Linked DNA regions of Stegostoma tigrinum. The protein of the gene in region 1 interacts with the protein of each later gene in a pairwise test. Links are inferred from orthologs where the notes say so. Each region holds a gene or a part of one and is shown on either strand. Other genes may lie near its edges. The genes, in order: pumilio homolog 2-like and dazl.

Region 1 (15,329 bases):
CCACACCGCACGCCCCCACTCCTTCCCCCCCCGGCACGCCGACACTCCACCACTCCTTCGCTTCCCCCCCCGGCACGCCGCCACTCCACCACTCCTTGGCTCCCCCCCCCCGCACGCCCCCACTCCATCACTCCTTCACCCCCCGCACGCCCCCACTCCATCACTCCTTCACCCCCCGCACGTCCCCACTCCATCACTCCTTCCACCCCCGCACACCCTCACTCCACCACTCCTTCCCCCAACCAGCACTGCACCACTCCTTTGCCCCATCCGCACGCCCCCACTTCTCCACTCCTTCCCCTCCCGGCACTGCACCACTCCTTTGCCCCCTCCGCACGCCCCCACTTCTCCACTCCTTCCCCTCCCGGGACTGCACCACTCCTTCCCCCCACCGCATACCCCCACTCCTTCCACCCTGCCCCGCACGCCCCGACTCCCCCGCACCTTCCCCCCCGCTGCACGCCCCCGCTCCTTCCCCCCTGCGCACGCCCCCACTCCACCACTCCTTGCCCCCCGCACGCCCCCACTCCACCACTCCTTGCCCCCCGCACGCCCCCACTCCACCACTCCTTGCCCCCCGCACGCCCCCACTCCACCACTCCTTGCCCCCCGCACGCCCCCACTCCACCACTCCTTCACCCCCCGCACGTCCCCACTCCATCACTCCTTCCACCCCCGCACACCCTCACTCCACCACTCCTTCCCCCAACCAGCACTGCACCACTCCTTTGCCCCATCCGCACGCCCCCACTTCTCCACTCCTTCCCCTCCCGGCACTGCACCACTCCTTTGCCCCCTCCGCACGCCCCCACTTCTCCACTCCTTCCCCTCCCGGGACTGCACCACTCCTTCCCCCCACCGCATACCCCCACTCCTTCCACCCTGCCCCGCACGCCCCGACTCCCCCGCACCTTCCCCCCCTGCGCACGCCCCAACTCCTTCCCCCCCCTCAGCACGCCCAACTCCTTCCCCCCGCCGCACGCCCCCACTCCTTCCCCCCGCCGCACGCCCCCACTCCTCCACCGCCCACCCACACACCCCCACTCCTTCCCCCACCTCCGCACGCCCCCACTCCCCCACTCCTTACCCCCCCCGCACGCCCCCACACCACCGCTCCTTCCCCCCTCCGCACGCCCCCACTCCACCGCTCATTTATCCCTCCGCACGCCCCCACTCCACCGCACCTTCCCCCTGCGCACGCCCCCACTCCACCGCTCCTTCCCCCCTGCGCACGCCCCCACTCCACCGCTCCTTCCCCCCTGCGCACGCCCCCACTCCACCGCTCCTTCCCCCCCCGCACGCCCCCACTCCACCGCTCCTTCCCCCCTGCGCACGCCCCCACTCCACCGCTCCTTCCCCCCTGCGCACGCCCCCACTCCACCGCTCCTTCCCCCCTGCGCACGCCCCCACTCCACCGCTCCTTCCCCGCTGCGCACGCCCCCACTCCACCGCTCCTTCCCCCCTGCGCACGCCCCCACTCCACCGCTCGTTACCCCCTGCGAACGCCCCCACTCCACCGCTCCTTCCTCCCTGCGCACGCCCCCACTCTACCGCTCCTTCCCCCCCTGCGCACGCCCCAACTCCTTCCCCCCGCCGCACGCCCCCACTCCTTCCCCCCACCGCACGCCCCCACTCCTCCACCGCCCACCCACACACCCCCACTCCTTCCCCCACCTCCGCACGCCCCCACTCCCCCACTCCTTACCCCCCCCGCACGCCCCCACGCCACCGCTCCTTCCCCCCTCCGCACGCCCCCACTCCACCGCTCATTTATCCCTCCGCACGCCCCCACTCCACCGCACCTTCCCCCTGCGCATGCCCCCACTCCCACCGCTCCTTCCCCCCTGCGCACGCCCCCACTCCAACGTTCCTTCCCCAAACCAGCACTGCACCACTCCTTCCCCCACCCCCGCGCACGCCCCAACTGCTCGCCCCCACCGCACGCCCCCACTCCTTCCCCCCACCGCATGCCCCCACTCCTTCCCCCCCCACCCAGCACTGCACCACTCCTTCCCCCCCCGCACACCCCAACTCCTTCACCCCCCCGCTCGCCCCCACCCCCCCACTCCTTCCCCCCACCGCACGCCCCCACTCTTTCACCCCCCAGCACTGCACCACTCCTTCCCCCCCGCACGCCCCCACTCCCCCACCCCCCCGCACGCCCCCACTCCCCGCACGCCCCCACTCCCCCACTCGTTCCCCCCCCGCACGCCCCCACTCCAGCGCTCCATCCCCCCTGCGCACGCCCCCACTCCACCGCTCCTTCCCCCCTGCGCACGCCCCCACTCCACCGCTCCTTCCCCCCTGCGCACGCCCCCACTCCACCGCTCCTTCCCCCCTGCGCACGCCCCCACTCCACCGCTCCTTCCCCCCTGCGCACGCCCCAACTCCACCGCTCCTTCCCCCCTGCGCACGCCCCCACTCCACCGCTCCTTCCCCACTGCGCACGCCACCACTCCACCGCTCCTTCCCCACTGCGCACGCCCCCACTCCACCGCTCCTTCCCCACTGCGCACGCCCCCACTCCACCGCTCCTTCCCCCCTGCGCACGCCCCCACTCCACCGCTCCTTCCCCCCTGCGCACGCCCCACTCCACCGCTCCTTCCCCCCTGCGCACGCCCCCACTCCACCGCTCCTTCCCCCCTGCGCACGCCCCCACTCCACCGCTCCTTCCCCCCTGCGCACGCCCCCACTCCACCGCTCCTTCCCCCCTGCGCACGCCCCCACTCCACCGCTCCTTCCCCCCTGCGCACGCCCCCACTCCACCGCTCCTTCCCCCTGCGCACGCCCCCACTCCACCGCTCCTTCCCCCCTGCGCACGCCCCCCACTCCACCGCTCCTTCCCCACTGCGCACGCCCCCACTCCACCGCTCCTTCCTCCCTGCGCACGCCCCCACTCTACGCTCCTTCCCCCCCTGCGCACGCCCCAACTCCTTCCCCCCCTCAGCACGCCCAACTCCTTCCCCCGCCGCACGCCCCACTCCTTCCCCCCACCGCACGCCCCCACTCCTCCACCCCCCACCCGCACACCCCCACTCCTTCCCCCACCTCCGCACGCCCCCACTCCCCCACTCCTTACCCCACCCCCGCACGCCCCCACGCCACCGCTCCTTCCCCCCTCCGCACGCCCCCACTCCACCGCTCCTTCCCCCCTGCGCACGCCCCCACTCCAACGTTCCTTCCCCCCACCAGCACTGCACCACTCCTTCCCCACCCCCGCGCACGCCCCAACTGCTCGCCCCCACCGCACGCCCCCACTCCTTCCCCCCACCGCATGCCCCCACTCCTTCCCCCCCCACGCAGCACTGCACCACTCCTTCCCCCCCCGCACACCCCAACTCCTTCACCCCCCCGCTCGCCCCCACCCCCCCCACTCCTTCCCCCCACCGCATCCCCCACTCTTTCACCCCCCAGCACTGCACCACTCCTTCCCCCCCGCACGCCCCCACTCCCCCACCCCCCCCGCACGCCCCCACTCCCCGCATGCCCCCACTCCCTCCCCCCCCGCACGCCCCCACTCCAGCGCTCCATCCCCCCTGCGCACGCCCCCACTCCACCGCTCCTTCCCCCCTCCGCACGCCCCCACTCCACCGCTCCTTCCCCCCTCCGCATGCCCCCGCTCCACCGCTCCTTCCGCCCTCCGCACAACCGCTCCTTCCACCCACCAGCACTGCACCAGCACTGCACCACTCCTTCCCCACACCGCACGCCCCCACTCCTTCCCCCCCGGCACGCCGACACTCCACCACTCCTTCGCTTCCCCCCCCGGCACGCCGCCACTCCACCACTCCTTGGCTCCCCCCCCCCGCACGCCCCCACTCCATCACTCCTTCACCCCCCGCACGCCCCCACTCCATCACTCCTTCACCCCCCGCACGTCCCCACTCCATCACTCCTTCCACCCCCGCACACCCTCACTCCACCACTCCTTCCCCCAACCAGCACTGCACCACTCCTTTGCCCCATCCGCACGCCCCCACTTCTCCACTCCTTCCCCTCCCGGCACTGCACCACTCCTTTGCCCCCTCCGCACGCCCCCACTTCTCCACTCCTTCCCCTCCCGGGACTGCACCACTCCTTCCCCCCACCGCATACCCCCACTCCTTCACCCTGCCCCGCACACCCCGACTCCCCCGCACCTTCCCCCCCGCTGCACGCCCCCGCTCCTTCCCCCCCTGCGCACGCCCCCACTCCACCACTCCTTCCCCCCCGCACGCCCCCACTCCACCGCTCCTTCCCCCCCGCACGCCCCCACTCCACCGCTCCTTCCCCCCCGCACGCCCCCACTCCACCGCTCCTTCCCCCCCGCACGCCCCCACTCCACCGCTCCTTCCCCCCAGCACGCCCAACTCCTTCCCCCCGCCGCACGCTGCCACTCCTTCCCCCCACCGCACGCCCCCACTCAACTCCCCAGCACTGCACCACTCCCCCCCCCGCCACCCGCATACCCCCACTCCTTCCCCCACCTCCGCACGCCCCCACTCCTTCCCCCACCTCCGCACGCCCCCACTCCTTCCCCCACCTCCGCACGCCCCCACTCCTTCCCCCACCTCCGCACGCCCCCACTCCTTCCCCACTCCGCACGCCCCCAATCCACCGCTCCTTCCCCCCTCCGCACGCCCCCACTCCACCGCTCCTTCCCCCCTCCGCACGCCCCCACTCCACCGCTCCTTCCCCCCTCCGCACGCCCCCACTCCACTGCTCCTTCCCCCCTCCGCTCCTTCCCCACTCCGCACGCCCCCAATCCACCGCTCCTTCCCCTTCCGCGCGCCCCCACTCCAACGCTCCTTCCCCCTCCGCACGCCCCCACTCCTTCGCCACCGCACGCCCCCACTCCTTCCCCGCCCTCACTCCAACACTCCATCCCCCCAACAGCACTGCACCACTCCTTCCCCCACCGCCTCACGCCCCGACACCCCCACTCCTTGACCCCCCGCACGCCCCCGCTCCTTCCCGCCCCCGCACGCCCCCACTCCACCGCTCCTTCACAACTCCGCACGCCCCCACTCCACCGCTCCTTCACCCCTCCGCACGCCCACACTCCACCGCTCCTTCCCACCTCCGCACGCCCCCACTCCACCGCTCCTTCCCCCCTCCGCACGCCCCCACTCCTTCCCCACTCCGCACGCACGCACTCCACCGCTCCTTCCCCCCCCCAACCCCAGACTGCACCACTCCTTCCCCCCCGCATGCCCACACTACACCACTCCTTCCCCCCCCGCACGCCCCCACTCCTTCCCCCCCCCGCACGCCCCCACTCCATCCCCCCCCCCGCACGCCCCCACTCCATCCCCCCCCCCGCACGCCCCAACTCCATCGCTCCTCCCCCCCCACTCCACTGCTCCTTCCCCCCTGCGCACGCCCCCACTCCAACGTTCCTTCCCCCCACCAGCACTCCAACGTTCCTTCCCCCCACCAGCACTGCACCACTCCTTCCCCCCCCTGCGCACGCCCCAACTCCTTGCCCCCACCGCACGCCCCCACTCGTTCCCCCCACCGCATGCCCCCACTCCTTCCCCCCCCGCACGCCCCGACATCCCCACTCCTTCCCCCCCGGCACGCCCCCAGTGCGCCACGCCCACACGCCCCCATTCCCCCACTTCTTCCCCCCCCTCCACACGCCCCTTCTTCCCCCCCTCCACACGCCCCTTCTTCCCCCCCCTCCACACGCCCCTTCTTCCCCCCCCTCCACACGCCCCTTCTTCCCCCCCCTCCACACGCCCCTTCTTCCCCCCCCTCCACACGCCCCTTCTTCCCCCCCCTCACACGCCCCTTCTTCCCCCCCCTCCACACGCCCCTTCTTCCCCCCCCTCCACACGCCCCTTCTTCCCCCCCTCCACACGCCCCTTCTTCCCCCCCCTCCACACGCCCCTTCTTCCCCCCCCTCCACACGCCCCTTCTTCCCCCCCCTCCACACGCCCCTTCTTCCCCCCCCTCCACACGCCCCTTCTTAACCCCTCCACACGCCCCTTCTTCCCCCCCCTCCACACGCCCCTTCTTCCCCCCCCTCCACACGCCCCTTCTTCCCCCCCCTCCACACGCCCCTTCTTCCCCCCCCCTCCACACGCCCCTTCTTCCCCCCCCCTCCACACGCCCCTTCTTCCCCCCCCTCCACACGCCCCTTCTTCCCCCCCCCTCCACACGCCCCTTCTTCCCCCCCCCTCCACACGCCCCTTCTTCCCCCCCCCTCCACACGCCCCTTCTTCCCCCCCCTCCACACGCCCCTTCTTCCCCCCCCCTCCACACGCCCCTTCTTCCCCCCCCCTCCACACGCCCCTTCTTCCCCCCCCCTCCACACGCCCCTTCTTCCCCCCCCTCCACACGCCCCTTCTTCCCCCCCCTCCACACGCCCCTTCTTCCCCCACCTCCACACGCCCCTTCTTCCCCCACCTCCACACGCCCCCATTCCGCCCCTTCTTCCCCCCCCTCCACACGCCCCCATTCCGCCCCTTCTTCCCCCCCTCCACACGCCCCCATTCCGCCCCTTCTTCCCCCCCACACGCCCCCATTCCGCCCCTTCTTCCCCCCCTCCACACGCCCCCATTCCGCCCCTTCTTCCCCCCCCTGCACACGCCCTCCACACGCCCCTTCTTCCCCCACCTCCACACGCCCCCATTCCGCCCCTTCTTCCCCCCCCTCCACACGCCCCATTCCGCCCCTTCTTCCCCCCCTCCACACGCCCCCATTCCGCCCCTTCTTCCCCCCCACACGCCCCCATTCCGCCCCTTCTTCCCCCCCTCCACACGCCCCCATTCCGCCCCTTCTTCCCCCCCCTGCACACGCCCCCATTCCGCCCCTTCTTCCCCCCCCTCCACACGCCACCATTCCGCCACTTCTTCCGCCACCCCCCGCAAGCCCCCATTCCGCCACTTCTTCCGCCACCCCCATTCCGCCACTTCTTCCCCCCCGCACGCCCCCATTCCAACACCCCCACACGCCCCCTTTCCGCCCCTTCTTCCCCCCTCCACACGCCCCCATTCCGCCCCTCCTTCCCCCCCTCCACACGCCCCCATTCCGCCCCTCCTTCCCCCCCTCCACACGCCCCCATTCCGCCCCTCCTTCCGCCACCCCCACACGCCCCCATTCCGCCCCTCCAACCCCCCTGCCCCCCCATTCCACCCCCCCTGCCCCCCCATTCCACCCCCCCTCCACTCCCCTTCCCCCTCCCCACTCCCCTTCCCCCTCCCCACTCCCCTTCCCCCTCCCCACACGCCCCCATTCCGCCCCCCATTCCACCCTTCCACCCCCCCATTCCACCCCCCCTGCCCCCCCATTCCACCCCCCCTGCCCCCCCATTCCACCCCTCCCCACACGCCCCCATTCCACCCCTCCCCACACGCCCCCATTCCACCCCTCCCCACACGCCCCCATTCCTTTTCCCCCTCTACTTTCACTCATCCCCCACACCTGCTCCTTCTCCTCCCAACCCTGTTCTATCCCCGACAACGTACACCCCCGCTCCGCCCCCACCCGCCTACCCCAAACCCCACCATCCCCCTCTCGTCCTGTCCTCCTCCATATTCTCCTCCACCCCTCTCAATCCCCTCACTTCTCCTCTTCCCCCCCCGCCAGCTCCCCGGCCCTTCTCCCCGCACACTCTGATTCTGGGCAGCGGCCCGGACCCGGGGCCCGCTCCTCTTCCTCGATCTTTGTGTGGCTCCGACATTATTTTGTTTCTAAACGCGCGCGCGCTGGCTCTCTCTCTCCACCGGTCGTCTGCGTATCAGTTCCCGCGGCTCGAGGGCCGGCTCACACTCACAGTTTCAGGCTGATGTTGGCGGCCTAGCCGGCGGCCTCCGCCGGGCTTTCCCTCCGGGTTTTTTTTTGTTCCGACAGAAACTCAGCGCCTTCCCCACAACAACATGGCGCCGGGCAGCATCCCCGCGCTCACCACCTAGGCCCCGCCCCCTACCGCTAAACACCGCCCACTTCCTCCCTCCCCCCCACCACGGAAAGGCCGGAATGGCCCCGCTCCACCTCCCGTGCCGACTCCGCCCCCGACTGCCCGCAGGGTCCCGCCTCCAGACCGAGTCCCGCCCCCTCGCGGAAGTGCTGATGTTAGACGAGGGTCGACCAAGTTAGAAATAATGGGAACTGCAGATGCTGGAGAATCCAATATAATAAAATGAGGCTGGATGAACACAGCAGGCCCAGCAGCATCTCAGGAGCACAAAAGCTGACGTTTCAGGCCTAGACCCTTCATCAGAGAGGGGCATGGGGTGAGGGTTCTGGAATAAATAGGGAGAGATGGGGAGGCGGACCGAAGATGGAGAGAAAAGAAGATAGGTGGAGAGGAGAGTATAGGTGGGGAGGTAGGGAGGGGATAGGCCAGTCCAGGGAAGACGGACAGGTCAAGGAGGTGGGATGAGGTTAGTAGGTAGGAGATGGAGGTGCGGCTTGGGGTGGGAGGAAGGGATGGGTGAGAGGAAGAACAGGTTAGGGAAGCAGAGACACGTTGGACTGGTTTTGGGATGCAGTGGGTGGAGGGGAAGAGCTGGGCTGGTTGTGGGGGGCAGGGGACGAACTGGACTGGTTTTGGGATGGGGTGGGGGAAGGGGAGATTTTGAAGCTGGTGAAGTTCACATTGATGCTATTGGGCTGTCGGGTTCCCAAGCGGAATATGAGTTGCTGTTCCTGCAACCTTCGGGTGGCATCATTGTGGCACTGCAGGACGCCCATGATGGACATGTCATCTAAAGAATGGGAGGGGGAGTGGAAACGGTTTGCGACTGGGAGGTGCAGTTGTTTATTGCGAACCGAGCGTAGGTGTTCTGCAAAGCGGTCTCCAAGCCTCCGCTTGGTTTCCCCAATGTAGAGGAAGCCACACCAGGTACAGTGGATGCAGTATACCACATTGGCAGATGTGCAGGTGAACCTCTGCTTAATATGGAAAGTCATCTTGGGGCCTGGGATAGGGGTGAGGGAGGAGGTGTGGGGGCAAGTGTAGCATTTCCTGCGGTTGCAGGGGAAGGGGACTTCACCAGCTTCAAAATCTCCCCTTCCCCCACCGCATCCCAAAACCAGCCCAGTTCATCCCCTCCCCCCACTGCACCACACAACCAGCCCAGCTATTCCCCTCCACCCACTGCATCCCAAAACCAGTCCAACCTGTCTCTGCCTCCCTAACCTGTTCTTACTCTCACCCATCGCTTCCTCCCACCCCAAGCCGCACCTCTGTCTCCTACCTACTAACCTCATCCCACCTCCTTGACCTGTCCGTCTTCCCTGGACTGACCTATCCCCTCCCTACCTCCCCACCTATACTCTCCTCTCCACCTATCTTCTTTTCTCTCCATCTTCGGTCCGCCTCCCCCTCTCTCTCTATTTATTCCAGAACCCTCACCCCATGCCCCTCTCTGATGAAGGGTCTAGGCCCGAAACGTCAGCTTTTGTGCTCCTGAGATGCTGCTGGGCCTGCTGTGTTCATCCAGCCTCACATTTCATTAACTAGGTTACAGTCCAGCAGGTTTATTTGAAATCACAAGCTTTCCGAGTGCAGTGAGAAAGCAGGGCACACAGGCACAGAGTTTATAGGTAGCGAAATCAAAGGGCAGAGACGTCAAAAAAATCATACAAATGGTGTGTGTAGTACCAGATTATAAATCTGCCGGTGACCAACAGTGTTAGACTGAGAGTCAAGTGTCAACAGCTGAATAACCATGGTAGTTCGGAGGAAGAATCTTTGCTTCCGACACAGGAAACGTGGGTTTGATCCCTGGTCAATGCATAGCAGTCCTTTCTTTGAATAACCAGTGAAGGGATGACCTATAATCTGATTAGGGGAGGAGAGAACCACTTACAAAAAAATCAAAGTAAGGTTATAACAAGTTGTAGAGCTGGATGTACGCAGCAGGCCAGGCAGCACCAGAGGAGTAGGAAAGCTGACTAAATAAGGTGGTGCTGGAGATGAACCAAATGACTGGAATCACATGCTGAATTCAAAACCGTACAAACTAATCAAGGTAGAGAGATCATAACAATTTGTCAAGTTGATGCTGTCTAAACAGGACAGTAAGGGGTTAGACAGAAGACGGTCTCAGTTCCAGGAAGGGTCACCGGACCCGAAACGTTAACTCCGTTTTCTCCTTCACAGGTTTTGCCAGACCTGCTGAGCTTTGCCAGCAACTTTGTTTTTGTTCCTACCATACTGTTCTTCATTTGTAAAATCTTCCTTTTGGCCCTGCCCCCACCCCCTTCGACAGCAGGCTGGGCCCCGTCCCTCCATCCATCCAGCCCCGGTTCCCCCATAACCCCGTCCATCCTGACTTCAGGGAAGCATGGGGGGGGAGCACTGGGATAGGGAATCAGGGGTATGGGGGTGGGTTTGGGACAGAGCATCAGAGAGGATGTGGAGGCACTGGGATAGGGCATCGGGGAGGGCATGGGGCACTGGAATAGGGCATCAGGGTGGGCACTTGAGGCATGGAGGGGGCACTGGCATGGGAAGGGCACTTGTGGGGGACACTGGCACCAGTGAAGGCATGGGAGGATGACACAGGCACTGCTGACTTTGGGAAGACACTGGGGATCGAAGAAGGCACCGGGGGCATGGAGACAACATTGTGAGAAAACTGGGCACCGGGGAGTGCACTGATACAGAAAGTTTCACGGGATGGGGAGCAGTGGCACAGAAAAAGGCATCAGAGCAGGGGATAAAGGAGAGGACACCAACACAGGGGCTTGGTGAGGATACAGGCACAGGAGGCATTGCCTATGATATTGATATGGGAGGACATTGACATGAGTCACTGGCGCTGGGGCATTGGGGAAGATCATGGCCTGGAGGGCTAGCAACAGACACTGGCACAGCGAGCACTGGGGAAGGGACACTAGCACGAGGATAGGACATTGTGGGTTCCGCACTGGGAGTGGGCACTGGCATGGGGGAGGGCACTGGAAAGACACTGTGACTACAATTGGGCACTAGGTATGGGTACTGAATAGTGGAGTGTACTGTGGCGAGCAAGGGCATTAACCATCCATACATTCCAACAAGTAAGGAAAATTCTATGGGACAGACCTGTCATCCATAGTCAAGTATTAAAAGAAATCAAAGATAATATCAACCATGAAGGAAAATCACATGATTGAGCAAAGATGCATGTAGGTCAGAAGATTGATATTTAAAAAGGCAAGGAACTGCTAAAAGATTGATAAGGTGGATGCTAAAAGATTGATAAGGTGGAAAAACTTTGAGCAAAGAAAGTTTTCCAACAATATTATAACAGATAGGAAGTTTTTTCTTTGGATATTTAAAAAGAAAAAAAGAGTAAACAAAGTCAGTGTTGGTCCTATAGAAATATGTTTGGGAATTAATAGTAATGGAGAACACAGAGATGGCAGAGATAGTAAACAGATATTTTGTGTTGGTCTTCAGCAGGAAAGATACAAGTAACATTGAGGAAAAAGGTGTACAGCAAGAATTGAACAAGAGGGAGGAACACACAGAACTTAGACTCAAGTAGCATTGAATGAATTGTTGGAACTCTTGAGTTGACAAGCCCCCAGGTCCTGATGTATGTCATCCTAGGGTCTTAAAAGATGTAGCTACTGAGATAGTTGATATACCAGTTTTAGTTTTCCAAAACTCAATTGATTGATGAAGGTTCCCTTCAATTTGAAAATTGCCAATGAAACTCGTGTATTCAAAAAAAGGAGCGAGACAGAAATCAGGAAAATACGGGCCAATTAGCATAACATCTTTCGTAAGGAAAATATTAGAAACTATTATTGAAGATATTATGTCAGGACACTTAGCTAGGTAAGCAGGCAGAGCCAACATGGCTTTGTCAAAGGAAATATTTATCAAATTTATTTGATGTCTTTGAAGCCAGTAACTTGTACTATGGATAAAGGGGAACCAGTGGTTATATTGTACTTAGATTTTCAGAAGGCATTTGATAAGGTGACAGATTAAAAATTATTGCACATGGTTAAAGCTCATGGTTTTGGGGATAACATACTGGCATTGATAGAAAATTGGTTTCTAACAGATAGCAGAAAGTGGCAATAAATGGGTCTTTTTCAGACAGAATGTCATGCAGATAGTGTGCTATAAAATTCTGCACTGAGGCCTCAACTCTTTACAATCTATATAAATAATTTGACTGAAGGGACCAAAAGTGCAGTAGCTAAATTTGCTGAAGACTCAAAGGTAGATAGGAAAGTGAGATGGGAAAACAATATAAGGGCTTTACAAAGGGATGCAGATGGGCTAAGTGAGTGGGCAGAGAGCTAGCAAATGGAAGACAATGTGGGGAAGTGCGAAAAATGTCCATTTAGGCACAAAGAATAAAACGGTGAGAGATTGCAGAGCTCTGAGATGTAGAGAGAACTGGATGTCTGAGTGCATGAATGGCAGGTGAGGATGCAGGTACAGTAATCAATCAGGAAAGCCAATAGAATGGTATGTTTCATTGTTAAACGCAGGAGTAGGCAGGTTATGCTTCTGTTTTGCATGGGAATTTTGATATATACAGTACTGATCACCATGAGAGCAGTTCATAGAAAGCTTGCTTGACTAATACCTGGAGTGAATGAAGAGTGAATGAGCCTTTTAAGGAAGATTTATACAGCCTAGGCCTTTATCCTCTGGAGTTCAGAAGAGTCAGTCCTTGAAGATCAACAAGACAGTTTATATGTGGAACCATAGGGGATGGTTGAGATACTAAACAAGTATGTTGCATTAGTTTTTACTGTAGGGAGGACATGGAGGCGAAAGAACTTGGGGAAATACATAGTGATTTCTTGAAAAGTTTCCAAATTACAGAAGAGGAGGTACTGAAAGTCTTAAAATGCATAAAGGTAGATAAATCTCCAGGATCAAGTGTTTCCCACATCTTTATGGGGAAGCTAGGGAAGTGATTGCTGGGGCCATGCTGAGGTATTTAGAATCATAGAGTCATACAGTAATACAGCATGGAAACAGGCCCTTCAGCCAAAACTGGTCCAAGCTAACTATGGTGCCCACTCTTTTCTGATGAAGGGTCTAGGCCCGAAACGTCAGCTTTTGTGCTCTTAAGATGCTGCTTGGCCTGCTGTGTTCATCCAGCTCCACACTTTGTTATCTCAGGTAGTTCCAATTGCCCACATTTGGCCCATTTCTCTTGAAATCCTTCCCATTTATATACTTATCGAAATGTTTTTTTTTAACTGTTGCTATTGTATCTGCCTCAACCACTTTCTCTGGCAGCACATTTCATATATGCACCACCCTCTGCATGAAGAAGTTGCCCCTCAGGTCCTTCTTAAATCTTTCTCCCCTTATCTTAAACCTATGTCCCCCAGTTTTCAATTCCCCATCTCTGGGAAAAAGACTGTATGCATTCATCCTATCTATGCCCCTCATTATTTTATAAACCTCAATAAGATCACACCTCATTCTCCTACATTCCAAGGAATAAAGTCCTATCCTGGCCAACCTCTCCCTATAACTCAGGCCAAGTTGTTCTGGCAACATCCTCATAAATCTTCTTTGCACACTTTCCGGTTTAATTATGGCTCTCCTATAACAGGGTGACCAAAACTGTACACAATACTCCAAGTGCAGCCTCACCAACAAATTGTACAACTGTAACACAACATCCCAACTCCTATACTCAATGCCTCAGCCCTCAGGATTTTACCATTTACTGTATAACTCCCACCTTGGTTTGACTTTCCAAAGCGCAACACCTCACACTTATCTGCATTGAATTGTATATTCCAAGCCTCAGCCCATTTCCCCTTCTAATCAAGATCCCTCTGTAATTTTTGATAACCTTCCTTGCTATCAATCAGACTTCCTTATCTTGTACCATCTGCAAACTTACTAATCATGCCTTGTACATTCACATCCAAACCATTTATGTAAATAACAAATAAGAAAGATCTCAGCACCGACCCCTGTGGCACACCACTGGTCACGGGCCTCCAGTCGAAGAAACGACCTTCAACCATCACCTTTTGCCTCCTACCATTGAGCCAATTTTGAATCCAGTTAGCTAGCTCTCCCTGGATCCCATGCTACCTAGCCTTCATGACCAGCCTGCCATGCAGAACCTTGTCAAAGACCTTACTATAGTCCATATGGACAACATTCACTACCCTACCCTCACCTATCCTGTTGGTTACCTCTTTGAAAAACTCTAAAAGATTTGTCAGATATGACTTCCCATGCACAAATCCATGCTGACTATCCCTGATCAGACCTTGGCTATCCAAGTGTTGGTAGATCCTGTCCAGTATCCTCTCCAATAAATTGTCTACCACTGATGCCAGGCTCATTGGCCTGTAGATCCCTGGTTTGTCTTTGCTACCTTTCTTAAACAATGGGAAAACATTAGCCACCCTCCAGTCTTCCAGAACTTCTCAAACGGCAAAGGTGAAATAAAAATCTCTGCAATTTCTTCCCTAGCCTCCCACAATGTCTGAGGATGGACTTGATCAGGTCCAGGGGATTTATCCAGCTTAACATACTTTAAGGCTTTGTGTGTGGAGAATCGTGTCCCATCAACTTTGTTGAGGTTTTTTGAAGAGTTGTTAAAGAAGATTGATGATGGTCAAGCAGTAGATGTTGTATATAAGGACTTTAGTAAAGCATTCAATGAGAATCTACATGGTAGGCTGGTTAGTAAGATTAGATCACATGGGATCCAATGGAAGTTGACCAATTGGATACAAAATTGGCTTGAAGGTAGGAGACAGAGGATGATGGAGGGATATTTTCAGGCTGGAGACCTGTGACCAGTGGTGTGCCGCAAGGATTGGTGCTGGGTCCGCTGCTTTTCATCATTTATATAAATGATGTGGATGTGAATATAGGAGGTATCATTTGTAATTTTTCAGATGACGCCAAAATAGATGTTTTAGTGAACAGTAAAGATGGTTATCTCAGAGGATAACAGGACCTTAATCAGATGGGCCAACAGGCCGAGGAGTGGCAGATGGAATTTAATTTAGATAAATCTGAGGTACTACATTTTGGCAGGGCAAACCAGGGCAGAACTTATACACTTAATGGTAAGGACCCAGGGAGTGTTGCCGAACAAAGAGACCTATGCGTGTAGGTACAAAATTTATTGAAAATTGAGTTGCATATAGAGAGGATTGTGAAGAAGGCATTTGGCACACATGCCTTCATTGGTCATAACATTGAATATAGGAGTTGGGATATCATATTGCAGTTGTTCAGTACATTGGTGAGGCCACTTTTGGGATATTGCATACAATTCTAGTCATCATCTACATCAACATTTACAAGTTGTTGCTGGGACTGGAGGTTTTGACCTATGGGGAGATACTGAATAGGTTGGGCTATTTTCCCTGCAGCATTGGAGACTGAGGAATGA
Region 2 (14,925 bases), on another chromosome or scaffold:
GATTGTGCAACAGTTAGTACCATTGAGGACCCCTCAAATAATGAAGCAGTCCACATCCCTGTGCAGCAAGACCTGGACATCGTTTCAGAGACAGTAGGAACTGCAGATGCTGAAGAATCTGAGAAAACAAAGGTGTAGAGGTGGATGTACACAGCAGGCCAAGCAGCATCAGAGCAGCAGGAAGGCTGACGTTTCAGGCCTAGGCCCTTCTTCAGAAATGGGGGAGGGGGAGGGCTCTGAAATAAATAGAGAGAGGTGGGAAGCGGATAGAAGTTGGACAGAGGAGAAGATAGGTGGAGAGGAGACAGACAAGTCAAACAGGTGGGGATGCAGTCAGTAAAGGAGTATGTAGGTGGGGAGTTAGGGAGGACGGACAGGTCAAGGGAGCGGGATGAGGTTAGTAGGTAGGAGATGGGGTGGACCTTGAGGTGGGAGGAAGGACAGATTAGGGAGGCGGACAAGCTGGGCTGGTTTGGGATGTAGTAGGGGGTGGGGAGATTTTGAAGCTTGTGAAGTCCACATTGATACCATTGGGCTGCAGGGTTCCCAACCAGAATATGACTTGCTGTTCCTGCAACCTTTGGGTGGCATCATTGTGGCACTGCAGGAAGCTCAGGATGGACATGTTGTCTGAGGAATGGGAGGGGGAGTTGAAATGGTTCGCGACTGGGAGGTGCAGTTGTTTAGATGTGCAGGCCTGAAATGTCAGCCTTCCTGCTCCTCTGATGCTGCGTGGCCTGCTGTGTTCATCCAGCTCTACACCTGGTAATCTAAGACTTGGACATCATCAAGTTTGGACTTATTAGTAAGATTTATGCCACACAAGTGCCAACTGTGACCATCTTCAACAAGCAAAAAACTAATCACCCACTGAGATTCCAAGACATTATCAAGGCTTGGCAGGTGGGGTGGGGATGGGGGGTGTGCAGTTGGTGCCAGAAACAGCATGGCAGGCAGACTGGCTCAGGAGCAGTCAGCCTGTCACAGATGGCGGTCAACACCTTGCAAGCCCGGTGGGGTCAGCCTAGCACAGTACAGTGGAAAGCCCTCAGCCTAGAGCAATCACAGGCTATAAGACAACTATAATTTTTATCTTTTAACTTTATTTATTTTCTTAATATATACTACGAAAAACTGTTGTGTAGGACTTAACTTTTTTTCTTTATTTCTCTATTTTTGTACCTAAATCTATCTTAGTACGCAAGGTTGGTAACTAGATACTTTGTACTTAAGATGGCGCCATGTGTGGCAACATGGTACATTTTTCACTGTATTCTTGCACATTTGTACTTGATTACACATGACAATAAAGTCAATTCTAATTCCACCACTGAACTCCCTTCTGTCAACACCCTGAGGAACATGACTGAGCAGAGACTAAACTGAACCAGCCAGAGAAATAAGGTAGCCACAAAACATGTCAAGAGGCCATAAATTCTCTGGCTACTAATTCACTTTCTGTCTTTCTTTGGGAAAACTAACACAAGCAACTTCTCCATGTTGCACATTACCTTGACTTAAAACTATCTTGCATTTCCTTCACTGTTGCTGAAATAAAATCCTGGAACTCCATTCCTAACAAGACTGTGCACGTAACAGTTCCAATAGTCAGATCACCTTCTCCAAAGACTACTGACTTAGGCAGCAACACCAACATGAACAAACAGGGGAAAAAATTAGCTCTTTCAAAGGACCAAAGATTGGCAAGATGGCCAAAGTACAGTTTTGTTATTTCCATAAGTGTCTTTCCCTCCCAACTACAAAGATGCACATTTGACTTCCTTCTTCTCATAAGATCACAATAAATAGGAACATTAGGCCTTTTGGCCAAACAACTATTCTTTGCCATTCAATGCGATCATGGCAGATCAGATTATGGCCTTAGAAGCAATTTTATACCTGTTCTTCCTAACCATCAACTTGTTTGTCATTCAAAAATCCTGTCTGACTCAGTCTTAAATATATTCAATATATATTCAAATCCTACATATTCAGGCAAAGAATATTTACAATATTAATTACCCTTAGAAGAAATTCCCCATCATGTTTTAAATGGGAAACTCCTTATTTTAAAAAAATGTGCCCCCCAAATTCTAGATTTAGAGGGAAACATCATCTCAACATTTAAACTGTCAAACCCCCCCAATATCTAGATTTCATTAAGAACATTTATCATTCTTCTAAACTCCAACAAATACACACCTGACCTATGCAATTATGCCTTTATATGACAGGCCCCTCATCTCACGAATCAGCCAAGTGAGCCCTGTCTGAACTACTTCCAACGTAAGTATCCTTAAAATTCCAGTATTCTAGACACAGAATAATGAACACATTTTACAGCTTTCTTTTCTTTATTCATTCCGGGATGAGGACGTCGCTGGCTGGACAGCATTTATCGCGCTTCCCTAATTTCCCAGAGGGCAGCTGAATCAACCACATTGCTGTGGGTCTGGAGTCACATGTAGGCCAGACCAGGTAAGGATGGTAGTTTCCTTTCCTAAAGGACATTAGTGAAACACTAATGATCCAGCTGTAGCAAGACACCTCCACTCGTTCTTTATCGCCACTGTAAAGTACCAACTTTTTTGCTGGTTAAGTACATGGCCACCCAGATCCCTTTGTTTAGCAATGTTCTGCAATCTGTCTCCATTAAAACAGGTTCATTGTGGCACTTCCCCAACTGAAATATTTATGTTTAAAGTCTTCTATTATGATTCATCAGAACATTGGTCCCAGCACAATTTAGGCAGAAGCCATTAAGAACAATACAACACCCTCTTTTGCTCGTACTGGTGTCACTAACCCAAGAATCAGAATCCATTTCTCCCACACCAATCTATGAACTGCACATTCAACTGGCTGGTCTTACTGACTCTATCAATTTGCTCTGGTAGTAATATGGAGGTTTGCAACAACTGTCCTCTCATCACCTACATAGGATCAATTCTCATATTTATGCTACATTCATACATACAGGTGCAAGTTATTTCTCTCAACCTCAACTGTATCCATACTGGCCATATGACGCCAAGTCTTATCTGCGCTTCAACATCCAACCTTAATGCTCAGCACATCCTTACTGCCATTTTTCTACCCAGCTACCAAAGTGAGTTACAACCTCCAATGCAGCAATGACTGCCATTAAAATCTGACAAAGTGCTAACAATCACACTTAAATATTGGCAGTTAAGATCAGATGCAGCCCAGTGTTCTAGTTCTATCCTATAGAAAATCTTACCAGAAGTTAGGTGCTTTTTACCTAAATATCCTGTGGATTAAACATCCTTTGACCCTGCCACCATCTTAGTTGTAGCAGGTCTCTACAACTTTCAAGCAATAAAATAGATTCATGATGAAAAAAGGGAGTTTGGGGAGCACAGCTTAGGTTGAACAAAAAAAGTACATATTTCAATTCCCCATCAGTTACACGATCTTTAAAACTCTAGGCAGCCTTGCAACATTATACCTCTGTACCTACTTGTCAGGCTCTCCTGAATTTTTATCCACTATCTAATCTTGAATAGATCAAAATTTTTAGCCACACACATTAAACCTCTCAGCATCTACTTCTTTCCTTCTCAATATTACCTCTTTTAAAAACCTTTTAAATTAGCTCTACTCATCTCTGATACACTTTAGTGGTCTGTTCTACATCCTATTTCTGTTTCAATATAGATGTTTTGTTTTAATAGATACAACATGGCTACACCCATTTTCAACTCAGATATAGAAAAGAACCAAAGAACCTTTAAAATTAGTTAACTGCAACTGGATAATAGTAGTGACAGGCAAAAGGGGACATAAATTAGTAAGACATTGTATTCTCAGAAAAATTAAAGTCACAACTATACTTTATAGAAATGTCAATAAGAACAATAGAAAGGTAGTCAAAAGGGCTAAGAAATTTGGGACTTTACAAGTGAGCACAGAAAAATATAAATGCTTCACCATATCATTAAGCCTTAGCATATGTCAGATGTCACCCCAGGATTACGTGTACCTTAATATTTGGCCCCTCAAACCTGCTGTGACATTAAGATTATAGTCGATTTGTTCACATCAAATCCACATTCTCAACTACCCACAATAATCTTCAATTTCCCTGCTCAAAAATCTTTATAATTTTGCATAACAAATATTTAGCGACCATGTTTCCAGAGTCTCACAACACTCAATTCTCAGACATCACAAACATTTTTTTTTAAGAAAACGGAAATGGACTCACGCAAAGAGGAAACATTCACGTTTCTAAGACTATGCAGGAGCTTTAATGCTTCAATCAAGTTATCACTCTTTTAAACTCATGTAGAAACAAGCCAGCCTGTTTAAAACATTCTCAAAAATCAATCCATTCATTAGTTATCAACATAGTAAACCTTCTCATCAGTTCCAATGCATTTACATTCTTCATCAAATAAGGAGAACAAAACTGCACACAGTGCAGAGATGGTGCCTCATTCATGTTCTATATAACTCAAGCATAGCATTTTTGCTTTTATGTTCCATTCCTATTATAATGATGGACAACAGGCCATTAGCATTCTTGATTACACACTGTGCCTGTATGTTCATTTGAGAATTTATGCATCAGTATACCTAAGTTCATCTGCTCCTCAAAATTCTACAATCATTCTTATTTAAGTAATACATTGCTTTTTCATTCTTGCTGCCATAGTGAACAATTTCACAATTTCCTATCTTATTTCCTGCTAGCTTCTTGCCCAATTACTGAACCTATTTACAATCAGATCTTAAGACCATAAGACATAGGAGTGGAAATAAGGACATTCGGCCCATCAAGCCCACTCTGCCATTTAAATCATGGCTGATGGGCGTTTCAACTCCACTTCCCTGCACTCTCCCCGTAGCCCTCGATTCTTTGAGAGATCAAGAATTTGTCGATCTCTGCCTCGAAGGCATCTAACGTCCCGGCCTCCACTGCACTCCGTGGCAATGAATTCCACAAGCCCAACGCTCTCTGGCTGAAGAAATGTCATCTCATTTCAGTTTTAAATTTACCCCCTCTAATTCTAAGGCTGTGCCCACAGGTCCTAGTTTCCTCACCTAACGGAAACAACTTCCCAGCGTCCACCCTTTTTAAGCCATACATTATCTTGTAAGTTTCTATTCGATCTCCCCTCAACCTTCTAAACTCTAATGAATACAATCCCAGGATCCTTAGCCATTCATCGTACATTAAACCTACCATTCCAGGGATCATCCGTGTGAATCTCCGCTGGACATGCTCCAGTGCCACTATGTCCTTCCTGAGGTGTGGGGCCCAAAACTGGACACAGTATTCTAAATGGAGCCTAACTAGAGCTTTATAAAGTCTCAAAAGCACATCACTGCTTTTATATTCCAATCCTCTTGAGATAAAGCAACATTACATTCGCTTTCTTAATCACGGACTCTACCTGCAAGTTAACTTTTAGACAATCCTGGACCAACACTCCCAGATCCCTTTGTACTTCTGCTTTACGAATTTTCTCACCATTTAGAAAATAGTCCATGCCTGTATTCTTTTTTCCAAAGTGCAAAACCTCGCATCTTCTACACCATATACTTTCCTGACTATTATGGCATCATCTGCAAATTTACCTTTAATAACATTTCCTCCATCCAAATGATTGCTACATACTGTAAGAAGTTGAGACCCCAACTCAGACCACTCCAAGACTTCACTCACCACATCCTACCAGACTCATTCATACCTACTGTTTTCTACCAGTCAAAAATAATCTTTGATGGAAAGATGGTAACATGTTCAAAATTGTTTTATGTCCAATACATCCTAAAGGTTAAGTGTGTCTGGGATGTTGTGGATAACAAATGAAGAAAATAAGTCCCTAAACACATGCAACCCCACACTTTAGCCCTCCATTTCGTCAGGTGTATAAAAAACTTTTCATTCAATATGAAACAATGAAACTATAATGTTGTTTTCTGTTCTTGTTGGATATGTAGAGGAGGAAAATGGCTTCTTGTAAACTAAAACTCCATGTTGAGCTTTCATCTGCACTAATTCGCACTTCCTTTTGGTTTAAAATACAAGCGACGTGGAGGTGAAACAAACGCTGGATGCGGTCCGATAAATATCTTCGCCCCCTCCCCCCCCTTATTGCCGACCCAGTCCGCTTCTTTGTTCAAGCCAAATGCAGTTGTGTCTACGGTGTCATAAAGATAATGGAGTCGGCGACCCGCGAATGTCTCAAAGACTGGGAAGGCATTGGGCCCGAAACGTCAGTTTTTGTGCTCCCGAGATGCTGCTTGGCCTGCTGTGCTCATCCAGCTTCACACTTTGTTATCTTGGATTCTCCAGCATCTGCAGTTCCCATTATCTCTGAAGGCATTTACGATTCTGTTTACTGTGAACGTGGCATTGGCTAACCGGACAAGTTACAAAAAAGTAACAAGTTTACATGAGATAAAGAACAACCAGTTTCAAGACTAAATTAAAGCCAAAGGGTGATGAGGTGGAACTGTGTGTACAAATAGTAAGTCTCCCCACCGGCCCCCAGCCTCACAATAATTTATCATGAACCCCGAAATTATTGACGAGTCCAAACCGCCATTTAACGGCGTCGAGAGACGGCACTCCGCCTCGCTAGAACATGGCACGTGGTTTAAGGGTTTTCGACTAACAGCTTGTATCAAAACATAAGTTAACCAACATATTATGGAAACCACTTATTGAACATGGAGACTGATCGCAAGTTATTTCCCGCCTGTTTTACCATTTCAGCCATGTTTCTCAAATAACAGCCTTCCAACAACCAGACGTTCGGCGAGAAATGCCTCCGCCGCGCCTATTATTTATATGCTGCATCCACTCAACACCACCCAGCAGGGGTACCCCAAGGGCTTTTACAAATCATCAGAAGATTAATAACTGTTTACCGCCTCTGCAACTAGTCACTGCACTGCAAGTCAATACGAAAAAACGCTAGAAAATGAAACACTATCATATCAATTCAAAATGCCAACTGTTAAACAAAAAGTGTCTGTTGCTAGTGTGTCCCGTCTAGGCAGACGATGGTCGAGTCCAAGCTAGCCCGCTCTCTAAGTCGGCAAGCGCGTGAAATGAAGCTGGAATTTGAAGGCCGCCATTTTGTTGAGTGAAGAACTGTTTAACGGACAACATGTTTAAAGTTGGAGAGATAGAGAGGGAAATAAAGTGTTCAGTTACCAACACTGGACTCTCAGTTCTTGAAATGGTGTTGCGAATTAATTGGATCACCCTTGTTTCTTTATTTCAGTGTCGGAAATCATAAAGATTGAAATTGTCCCGCTGCGATAAAATACAGAATCATAAAATATATATTTCGAGTTGAGATATAAACGTGTCTATACGATGTTACACGTCGGTCTAATTTGAAGAGGGGGTCACTGATAGTTCTGAACGTTCCGCCGTGCTTTTTGTAGATCATGTAGATTTATCGCGACAGCGGCTCAATTTGTAGAGTCTGAACTTAACAGAATAGCCCAAGAGTGACAGGGTTTGCGAGGACTGCAACTGGACATAAAATCGATTAAAGCGAAAAACCTTGATTTTGGAAGTTACTATCAAAACAGAAGATGTCGAAAGCAGATCGGGGCAGTGAGGCAAAAGTTATCCTTTTAGGTCGACGACGACCTCTCTGAATCATTTTTTGGAAAATTTGACGCCACTGGCAGGATGGAGAAATTATTTGCTAGAATGACTCCGTTGAGAAGCTAGGGTTATTCTCCTTATAGAAGAAGAGTGTGAAAGAAGTCTTTAAATCATGAGAGTGTAGACAAAGTTGGTTGAGAAAACTTCGTATGAGTAGAAGGCTCCAGAATCCCTGACAGAAAGTGAATCGCAGACAACAAAAGAGACATTAGAAAAACCTATTATACCCGACAAATGGCTAAGATTGAAAGATGCACTGCTTGAAAGGTAGAAGAGAATCCAATTGTGATTTTCAACTGAAATAAAATGAGGGCTATAGAAAAAAGATAGGAGAATAGGCTTCAGTGATAATGGGAACTGCAGATGCTGGAAAATCCAAGTTAATAAAGTGTGAAGCTGGATGAACACAGCAGGCCAAGCAGCATTCTCAGGAGCATAAAAGCTGACGTTTCGGGCCTAGACCCTTCATCAGAGAGGGTCTAGGCCCGAAACGTCAGCTTTTGTGCTCCTGAGATGCTGCTTGGCCTGCTGTGTTCATCCAGCTTCACACTTTATTATCTAGGAGAATAGGCTTGCTGAGTTTCTCGAAGACAGAGCACGAACAGGCCAAAAATCTTTTAATCTGTTTTGCAATCATTCTCTGATTCTACGTGTCTCGCTTAAATTAGGATTTTAACAGACATTCAGATTAATTGAAAGGCAGAGCAGTTTAGGCATGATAGAGTGAGTCGAAAATAGATGTAATTGGGACCAGCATACAATCAAAATCCAGAGGAGATATATATGACAAAAGCAGAATCATTAACGACAGATGTGTCTGAAAAAATGCAAATAATGTTAAAAACTGAAATCGAAGTCAGTATCGAATTGAGATGTCTATGAAGTGCCTTATCAAATGATGAAATGTTTTTAAAGCTTCTATTGAACTTCATTTTGAGTGAAAAACGAAGTATGAAAATCCTCAATATCTGGCGAAAAATGTTAAAAAAATTATAGAGCCAATTTTTTTTCTTATGCCAAACCCTTTCTTTTCATTTGCTAGCTTCCTTCTTCTCTGAGACCTTCCCGTTTGTCCTTTACTCCCCTCCCCTGTATCCCTACTTCTGAATTTTTTTTAAGCCCATTACATCTCTAATATTTTCCAGTTGTAATGAAAGGCCACCAACCTGAAACATTAACTTTGTTTCCTCTGTCCACAGATTGTGTTTGGCCTTCTGAACAGTTTCTAAATATTAGTCATTTTAGCTACAACTTGACTTGCACCATTTAGAACATAGAACAATACACCGCAGAACAGGCCCTTCAGCCCTCGATGTTGTGCCGACCTGTGAACTAATCTAAGCCCCTCCCCCTACACTATCCCATCATTATCCATATGCTTATCCAAGGACTGCTTAAATGCCCCTAATGTGGCTGAGTTAACTACATTGGCAGGCAGGGCATTCCATGCCCTTACTACTCTCTGAGTAAAGAACCTGCCTCTGACATCTGTTTTAAATCTATCACCCCTCAATTTGTAGCTATGCCCCTTGTACAAGCTGAAGTCATCATCGTCAGAAAAAGAATCTCACTGTCCACCCTATCTAATCCTCTGATCATCTTGTATGTCTCTATTAAATACCCTCTTAGCCTCCTTCTCTCCAATGAGAACAGACCCAAGTCCCTCAGCCTTTCTTCATAGGGCCTGCGCTCCAGACCAGGCAACATCCTGATAAATCTCCTCTGCACCTTTTCCAATGCTTCCACATCCTTCCTGTAATGGGGCGACCAGAACTGCACACAATATTCCAAATTGTTACCGATGCCATCAACACATTGTGGTTATTTTTTGTTGAATCTTTGCACTCAAGCTTCCTCGTGTTGAAATTCATGCAAGTCCCAAGCCTTCATTAAATACTAATTACCCACCTGGATAGTGTACTTGCCTAATTTTCCTGATAATTCTGTGATTAGTCTGTTATTACTGTGAAATAAATATTGTTGTTACCTAGGTGTGCTGAATAAACTTTTGACACTGTTGTCCGCCTAGTGTTCTTGATCATGAAGCTTAAAAAATGTATAATTCTCTGTGTTTCACATTACAGACTACATGAAAGAAACCATTAAATTGTAAAAGATAACAAAGTGTGGAGCTGGATGAACACAGCAAGCCAAGCAGCATCTCAGGAGCACAAAAGCTGACGTTTCGGGCCTAGACCCTTCATCAGAGAGGGTGATGAAGGGTCTCTGATGAAGGGTCTAGGCCCGAAACGTCAGCTTTTGTGCTCCTGAGATGCTGCTTGGCCTGCTGTGTTCATCCAGCTCCACACTTTATTATCTTGGATTCTCCAGCATCTGCAGTTCCCATTATCACATTAATTTGTAAACACCAGTTTTAACATACAAACTTCTTAAAATTTCAAGTGCTGCAGCATTTAGTTGTATTTTAGAGGAAAAGAGGTTATGATCTCTAAGGAAAAGATTAAGGACTGATACGTGCATGTGTGTCTGAACACCAAGGCAGAAAACTCAGTCAAGTTAGGAAAAAGTATTGACCAAAAGGAGTTTGATTGAGAGATAATGGAAACTGTAGATGCTGGAGAATCCAAGATAATAAAGTGTGACGCTGGATGAACACAGCAGGCCAAGCAGCATCTCAGGAGCCCTCTGATGAAGGGTCTAGGCCTGAAACGTCAGCTTTTGTGCTCCTGAGATGCTGCTTGGCCTGCTGTGTTCATCCACCTTCACACTTTATTATCTAGGAGTTTGATTGAGGCTGAATCGAACATACTGTTCATTGCAAATGTGATAAAGTGCTTAGACTTTTCATATATTATTGAACTAATCAAAACCCGTTTGGAACTTCGCATGACAATGAAGTTGGTCACACACTTTATTGTACAATGTGACCTAATAACAGGATTCTGCATGAGATCTTTGAAAGATAATTAAAAATAACTAAAGACAAAAATGCATACACAATAGATAAAATCTGGAAATTCCCTTGGCAATGTGATGGTAAAAGAAAGATCCAAGATGTCGGGGAAATCCCAGTGTATCAAGTCAAGAAGCTCTCACCTTTGAACACTTTTAAGCAACCTGCAGTCAAGTCAGGCTGACCATCTAAGGTGTAGCTGTATGTTCTCTAGAGAATATTAAAATTGTTTGCGTATTGATCTTGTGAGGATGAGAGATAAGGATGGCAAGAGATATTGGAAGTTTAGTCAAAAAAAGAAAACAAATGTAAGGATTAGGAAACTGAAATCAGGTAAGGCCCTTGAGGACTATAAACAAAGCAGAAAAGACTTAAACAAGGAATTAGGAGGCCTAAAGGGGGCAATGAAATGTCCTTGGCAAGCAGGATTAAGGAGAATCCCAAAATATATTTGTACATATATTAGGAGCAAGAAGGCAGCTAGAGAAAGGGTAGACCCACACAAGGAGCAAGAGCGCAATTTATATGTTGTACCTGAGGAAATGGGTGAGGACCTTAATGAGTACTTCGGTATTCATCAAGGTCAAGGACCTTAATGATGGTAAAATTAAGAAGGGATATGTTGATGTTCTGGTGTTGAGGAGGTGGTGTTGGGTGTCTTGAAAAACATGAAGATTGTTTAGTCCTCAGGGTCTGATGGGATCCATCCTAAGATAATGAGAGAGACAAGGGTGGCAATTGCTGGGGCCTTGACAGAGATGTTTGTATCCTGTTTTAGCAACAGTTGAAGCCCCCAAAACACTGGAACCAATGTTGTTGCTTTGTTAAAGAAGGGCAACAGGGATAATCCAGGAAATTATTTGCTGGTGAGCCTTATCATTGATAAGGAAATTACTGGAGAAGATTGCTGTGGACAGATTTACACATATTTGTAAAAGAGACTTATTTGGGATAATCTGCATGGCTTTGTTTGTGGAGATGCCATGTCCCACAAACTGATAGAGTTCTTGAGAAAGTGATGAAAATGATTGCTGAGAGTAAGGCAGTGGATGTTGTCAACATGGACTTTAATAAAGCATTTGATAAGGTCTCCCTTGGTAGGCTGGCCCAGACAACTAAATCACATAGTATCCACAGTGAGTTGATAAATACAGAATTGGTTTGGTTATAAAAGACTGTATAGTTGTGGAGTGTTGTTTTTCAGACAGGAGGTCTGTGACCACTGGTGTTTCATAAAGATCAGTGCTGGGACTTCTGTTTGTGATGTGTATAAATGATTTGGATGAAAACGTAGGCAGTCCAATTTGTAAGTTTGCAGACAAGAGGAAAATTGATGGGGTTTTGGATAGTAAGAAAAGTTGTTAAATGATATAAATCAGTTGGAAAGTTGGGCCAAGAAATGGCAGATGGGGTGTAAAGCAGACAAGTGTAAGTTGTGAGGTATTTTTGGAGGTCAAATACATGAGGAAAGTATACAGCAAATGGCAGGATGCTTAGGACCATATATATATTAAGGGATTTTAGGGGTCCCAAGTCCATAACTCCCTGAAAGTTGCAACACAGGTGGATAAGGTGATAAAGAAGGCATATGGCATTCTTGCCTTCATGGTTCAGTGTATTAGGTATAAAAGTAGGCAAGTCATGTTGCATCTGTGTAAAACTTTAATTAAACCACATTTGGAATATTGTGTGCAGTTCTTGTCTCCACACCATAGGAAGAATGTGAAGGCTTGGGAGAGGGTACAAAAGAGGATGCCTGGATTGGAGTTTATTAACTACAAGGAGAGGTTGGACAAAACCTGGATTGTTTTCATTAGACCGTTGGAGGCTGTGGCGTGACCTGTTTGGAGGTATTTGTTATCATGACAGGCACGGATAGGGTGGACAGTGAGAGTCTTTTTCCAAGGGTAGAAATGTCAAATATTATGGTGCATAGTTTTAAAGTGAGAGGGGGAAAGTTTAAAGAAGATGCACGAGTCAAGTATTTTACAAACAGGGATAGTAAGAACTGCGGATGCTGGAGTATGAGATAACAAGATGTGGAGCTGGAGGAACACAGTAGGTCAGGCGGCATCAGACAAGCAGGAAAGCTGATGTTTCGGGTCAGAAATGGGGGAGGGGAAGGAGGCTCGGAAATAAATAGAGAGACGGGGAGCGGTGATAGCAGGTGTATAGTGGAGCAGATAGATGGGAGAGAAGACGGACACGCCAAGGAGGCACAGTAAAGGTGAGTGTAGGTAGGAAGTGGGGATGGGATTCGTCAGTGAGGAGGGAGGGGTGGATGGGTGGGACAGATGACAGACAGGTCAAGGAGGCAGGGATGAGAGGGGAGTTTGCTCTTGAGATGAGGTCGGAAGTGGAGAGATTTTGAAGCTAGTAAAGACCACATTGAGACCATTGGGTTGTTGGCTTCCATGGCGGAACTGTTCCTCCAGTTCCCAGGTGGCATCGATGTGACGCTGGAGGAGGCCCAGGACGGATGTGTCGTCCGGGGAGTGGGAGGTGTTGTTTGGCGCGAACTGAATGTAGGTGCACCACAAAGCAGTCTCCAAGTCTCCACTTGATCTCCTCGTTGTAGTGGAGGCCACATTGGGAACAACGGATAGAATAGACCACATTAGTGGATGTGCAGGTGAACATCTGTTTAATGTGGATAGCTTTCTTGAGGCCTGGAATGGAGTTGAGGGGGGACATGTAGGGGCAGGTGTAGCACCTCCTGAGGTTACAGGAAAAGGTAGCAAGTTTTCAGAAGATTTGTAGCTCAGGTTGAGGTTCTGGATGTGAGTTTGCTCGCTGAGCTGCAAGGTTAGTTTTCAGACGTTTCGTGACTTTTTTTATTTGACAAAATATACTTTATTCATAAGATGTACAAAAAATAAAACATATTTATACACCTACCCAGTCATGCAAGCCACTCCAGGTTAGCCGGGGGTACGTACACCAACGAAAGGAAAAAAACAAAACAAAGAAGAACAAAAAACAAAGCAAAGAAAATACCCTGGCAGTCATCTCCCCACACAGTCCCTGTTGGCCACCTGACCAGTTGGGGAAGGCGCCAGCTGGGCCCAGTTACCAGACAGCGCTCTTTTTTCTATTCTGGATAAGGGGTTTCATACGGTGGTCTTTCCCCACCGCGCCTTGGCGGCAGCTGCCCCAAGCTTTAGCACGTCCCTCAGCACCTAGTCCTGGACCTTGGAGTGCGCCAGTCTGCAACATTCGGTCGGGGTCAGTTCTTTCAGATGGCAGACCAGCAAGTTGCAGGCAGACCAAAGGGCGTCTTTCACTGCATTGATGGTCCTCCAGGCGCAGTTAATGTTGGTCTCAGGGTGCGTCCCGGGAAACAGCCTGGAGAGCACGGAGTCCCGCGTCACGGAGCTGCTCGGGACGAACCTCGACAAATACCACTGCATCCCCCTCCAGACCTCCTGCACATAGGCACACTCCAGAAGGAGGTGATCGACAGTCTCGTCACCCCAGCAGCCACCTCGAGGGCATTGCGGTGGCACAGAGATTCCGGGCATGCATAAAGGATCACACTGTCAGAGCCCCTCTCACCGCCAGCCAAGCAATGTCCTTGTGCTTGTTTGAAAGTTCTGGCGATGAGGCATTCTGCCAAACGACTTTGGCAGTCTGCGTGGGGAACCACAAGACGGGATCCACCATCTCCTTTTCCCGAAGGGTCTTGAGGATACTACATGCTGACCACTGCCTGACGGCCTTTTGGTCAAAGGTGTTTCGTTTCAAAAATTTCTCCACGAAGGACAGGTGGTACGGGACGGTCCAACTACTCGGAGCGTTCCGCAGCAAAGAGGCCAGGCCCATCCTTCGCAACACCGGGGACAGGTAGAACCTCAGTAAGTAGTGACACTTGGTGTTTGCGTACTGAGGATCTATGCACAGCTTGATGCAGCCACACACAAAGGTAGCCATCAGGGTGAGGGTGGCGTTCAGTACGCCTGTTGCCCCATTTTCCAGGTCTTTGTACATGGTGTCTCTGCGGACCCGGTCCATCCTCGACCCCCAAATGTAGTGGAAGATGGCCCGGGTGACCGCAGCAGAGCAGGTCCAGGGAATAGGCCAGGCCTGCACACATACAACAGTACCGAAAGCCCCTCGCACCTGACAACAAGGTTCTTACTCATGATGGAGAGGGACCGGAGAACCACCTGCCTAGCTTCTGCTTCAGTTTGGTGATACGCTCCTCCCAAGTATTAGTGCATGCCCCAGCCGAACCAAACACCCAGCACCTTCAGGTAGTCTGTCCTGACGGTGAAGGGGATGAAGGAGCAGTCGTTCCAGTTCCCGAAGAACATGACCTCGCTCTTACCCCTATTGACTTTGGCACCCGAGGCCA

Evidence for each region.
Region 2: the proteins of pumilio homolog 2-like (region 1) and dazl interact in a two-hybrid assay, tested with the Homo sapiens proteins (2 studies listed by BioGRID and IntAct). The link is inferred for Stegostoma tigrinum from reciprocal best matches to the Homo sapiens genes PUM2 and DAZL.

Annotation. Positions count from the first base shown.
Region 1 is NC_081357.1:125,797,647-125,812,975, reverse strand, and holds the start of pumilio homolog 2-like, read right to left. Parts: upstream 7,897-15,329; 5' UTR 7,760-7,896; intron 1-7,759. UniProt on the Homo sapiens protein: Sequence-specific RNA-binding protein that acts as a post-transcriptional repressor by binding the 3'-UTR of mRNA targets.
Region 2 is NC_081355.1:103,458,608-103,473,532, forward strand, and holds the start of dazl (deleted in azoospermia-like), read right to left. Parts: upstream 6,783-14,925; 5' UTR 6,753-6,782; coding exon 6,741-6,752; intron 1-6,740. UniProt on the Homo sapiens protein: RNA-binding protein, which is essential for gametogenesis in both males and females. Plays a central role during spermatogenesis.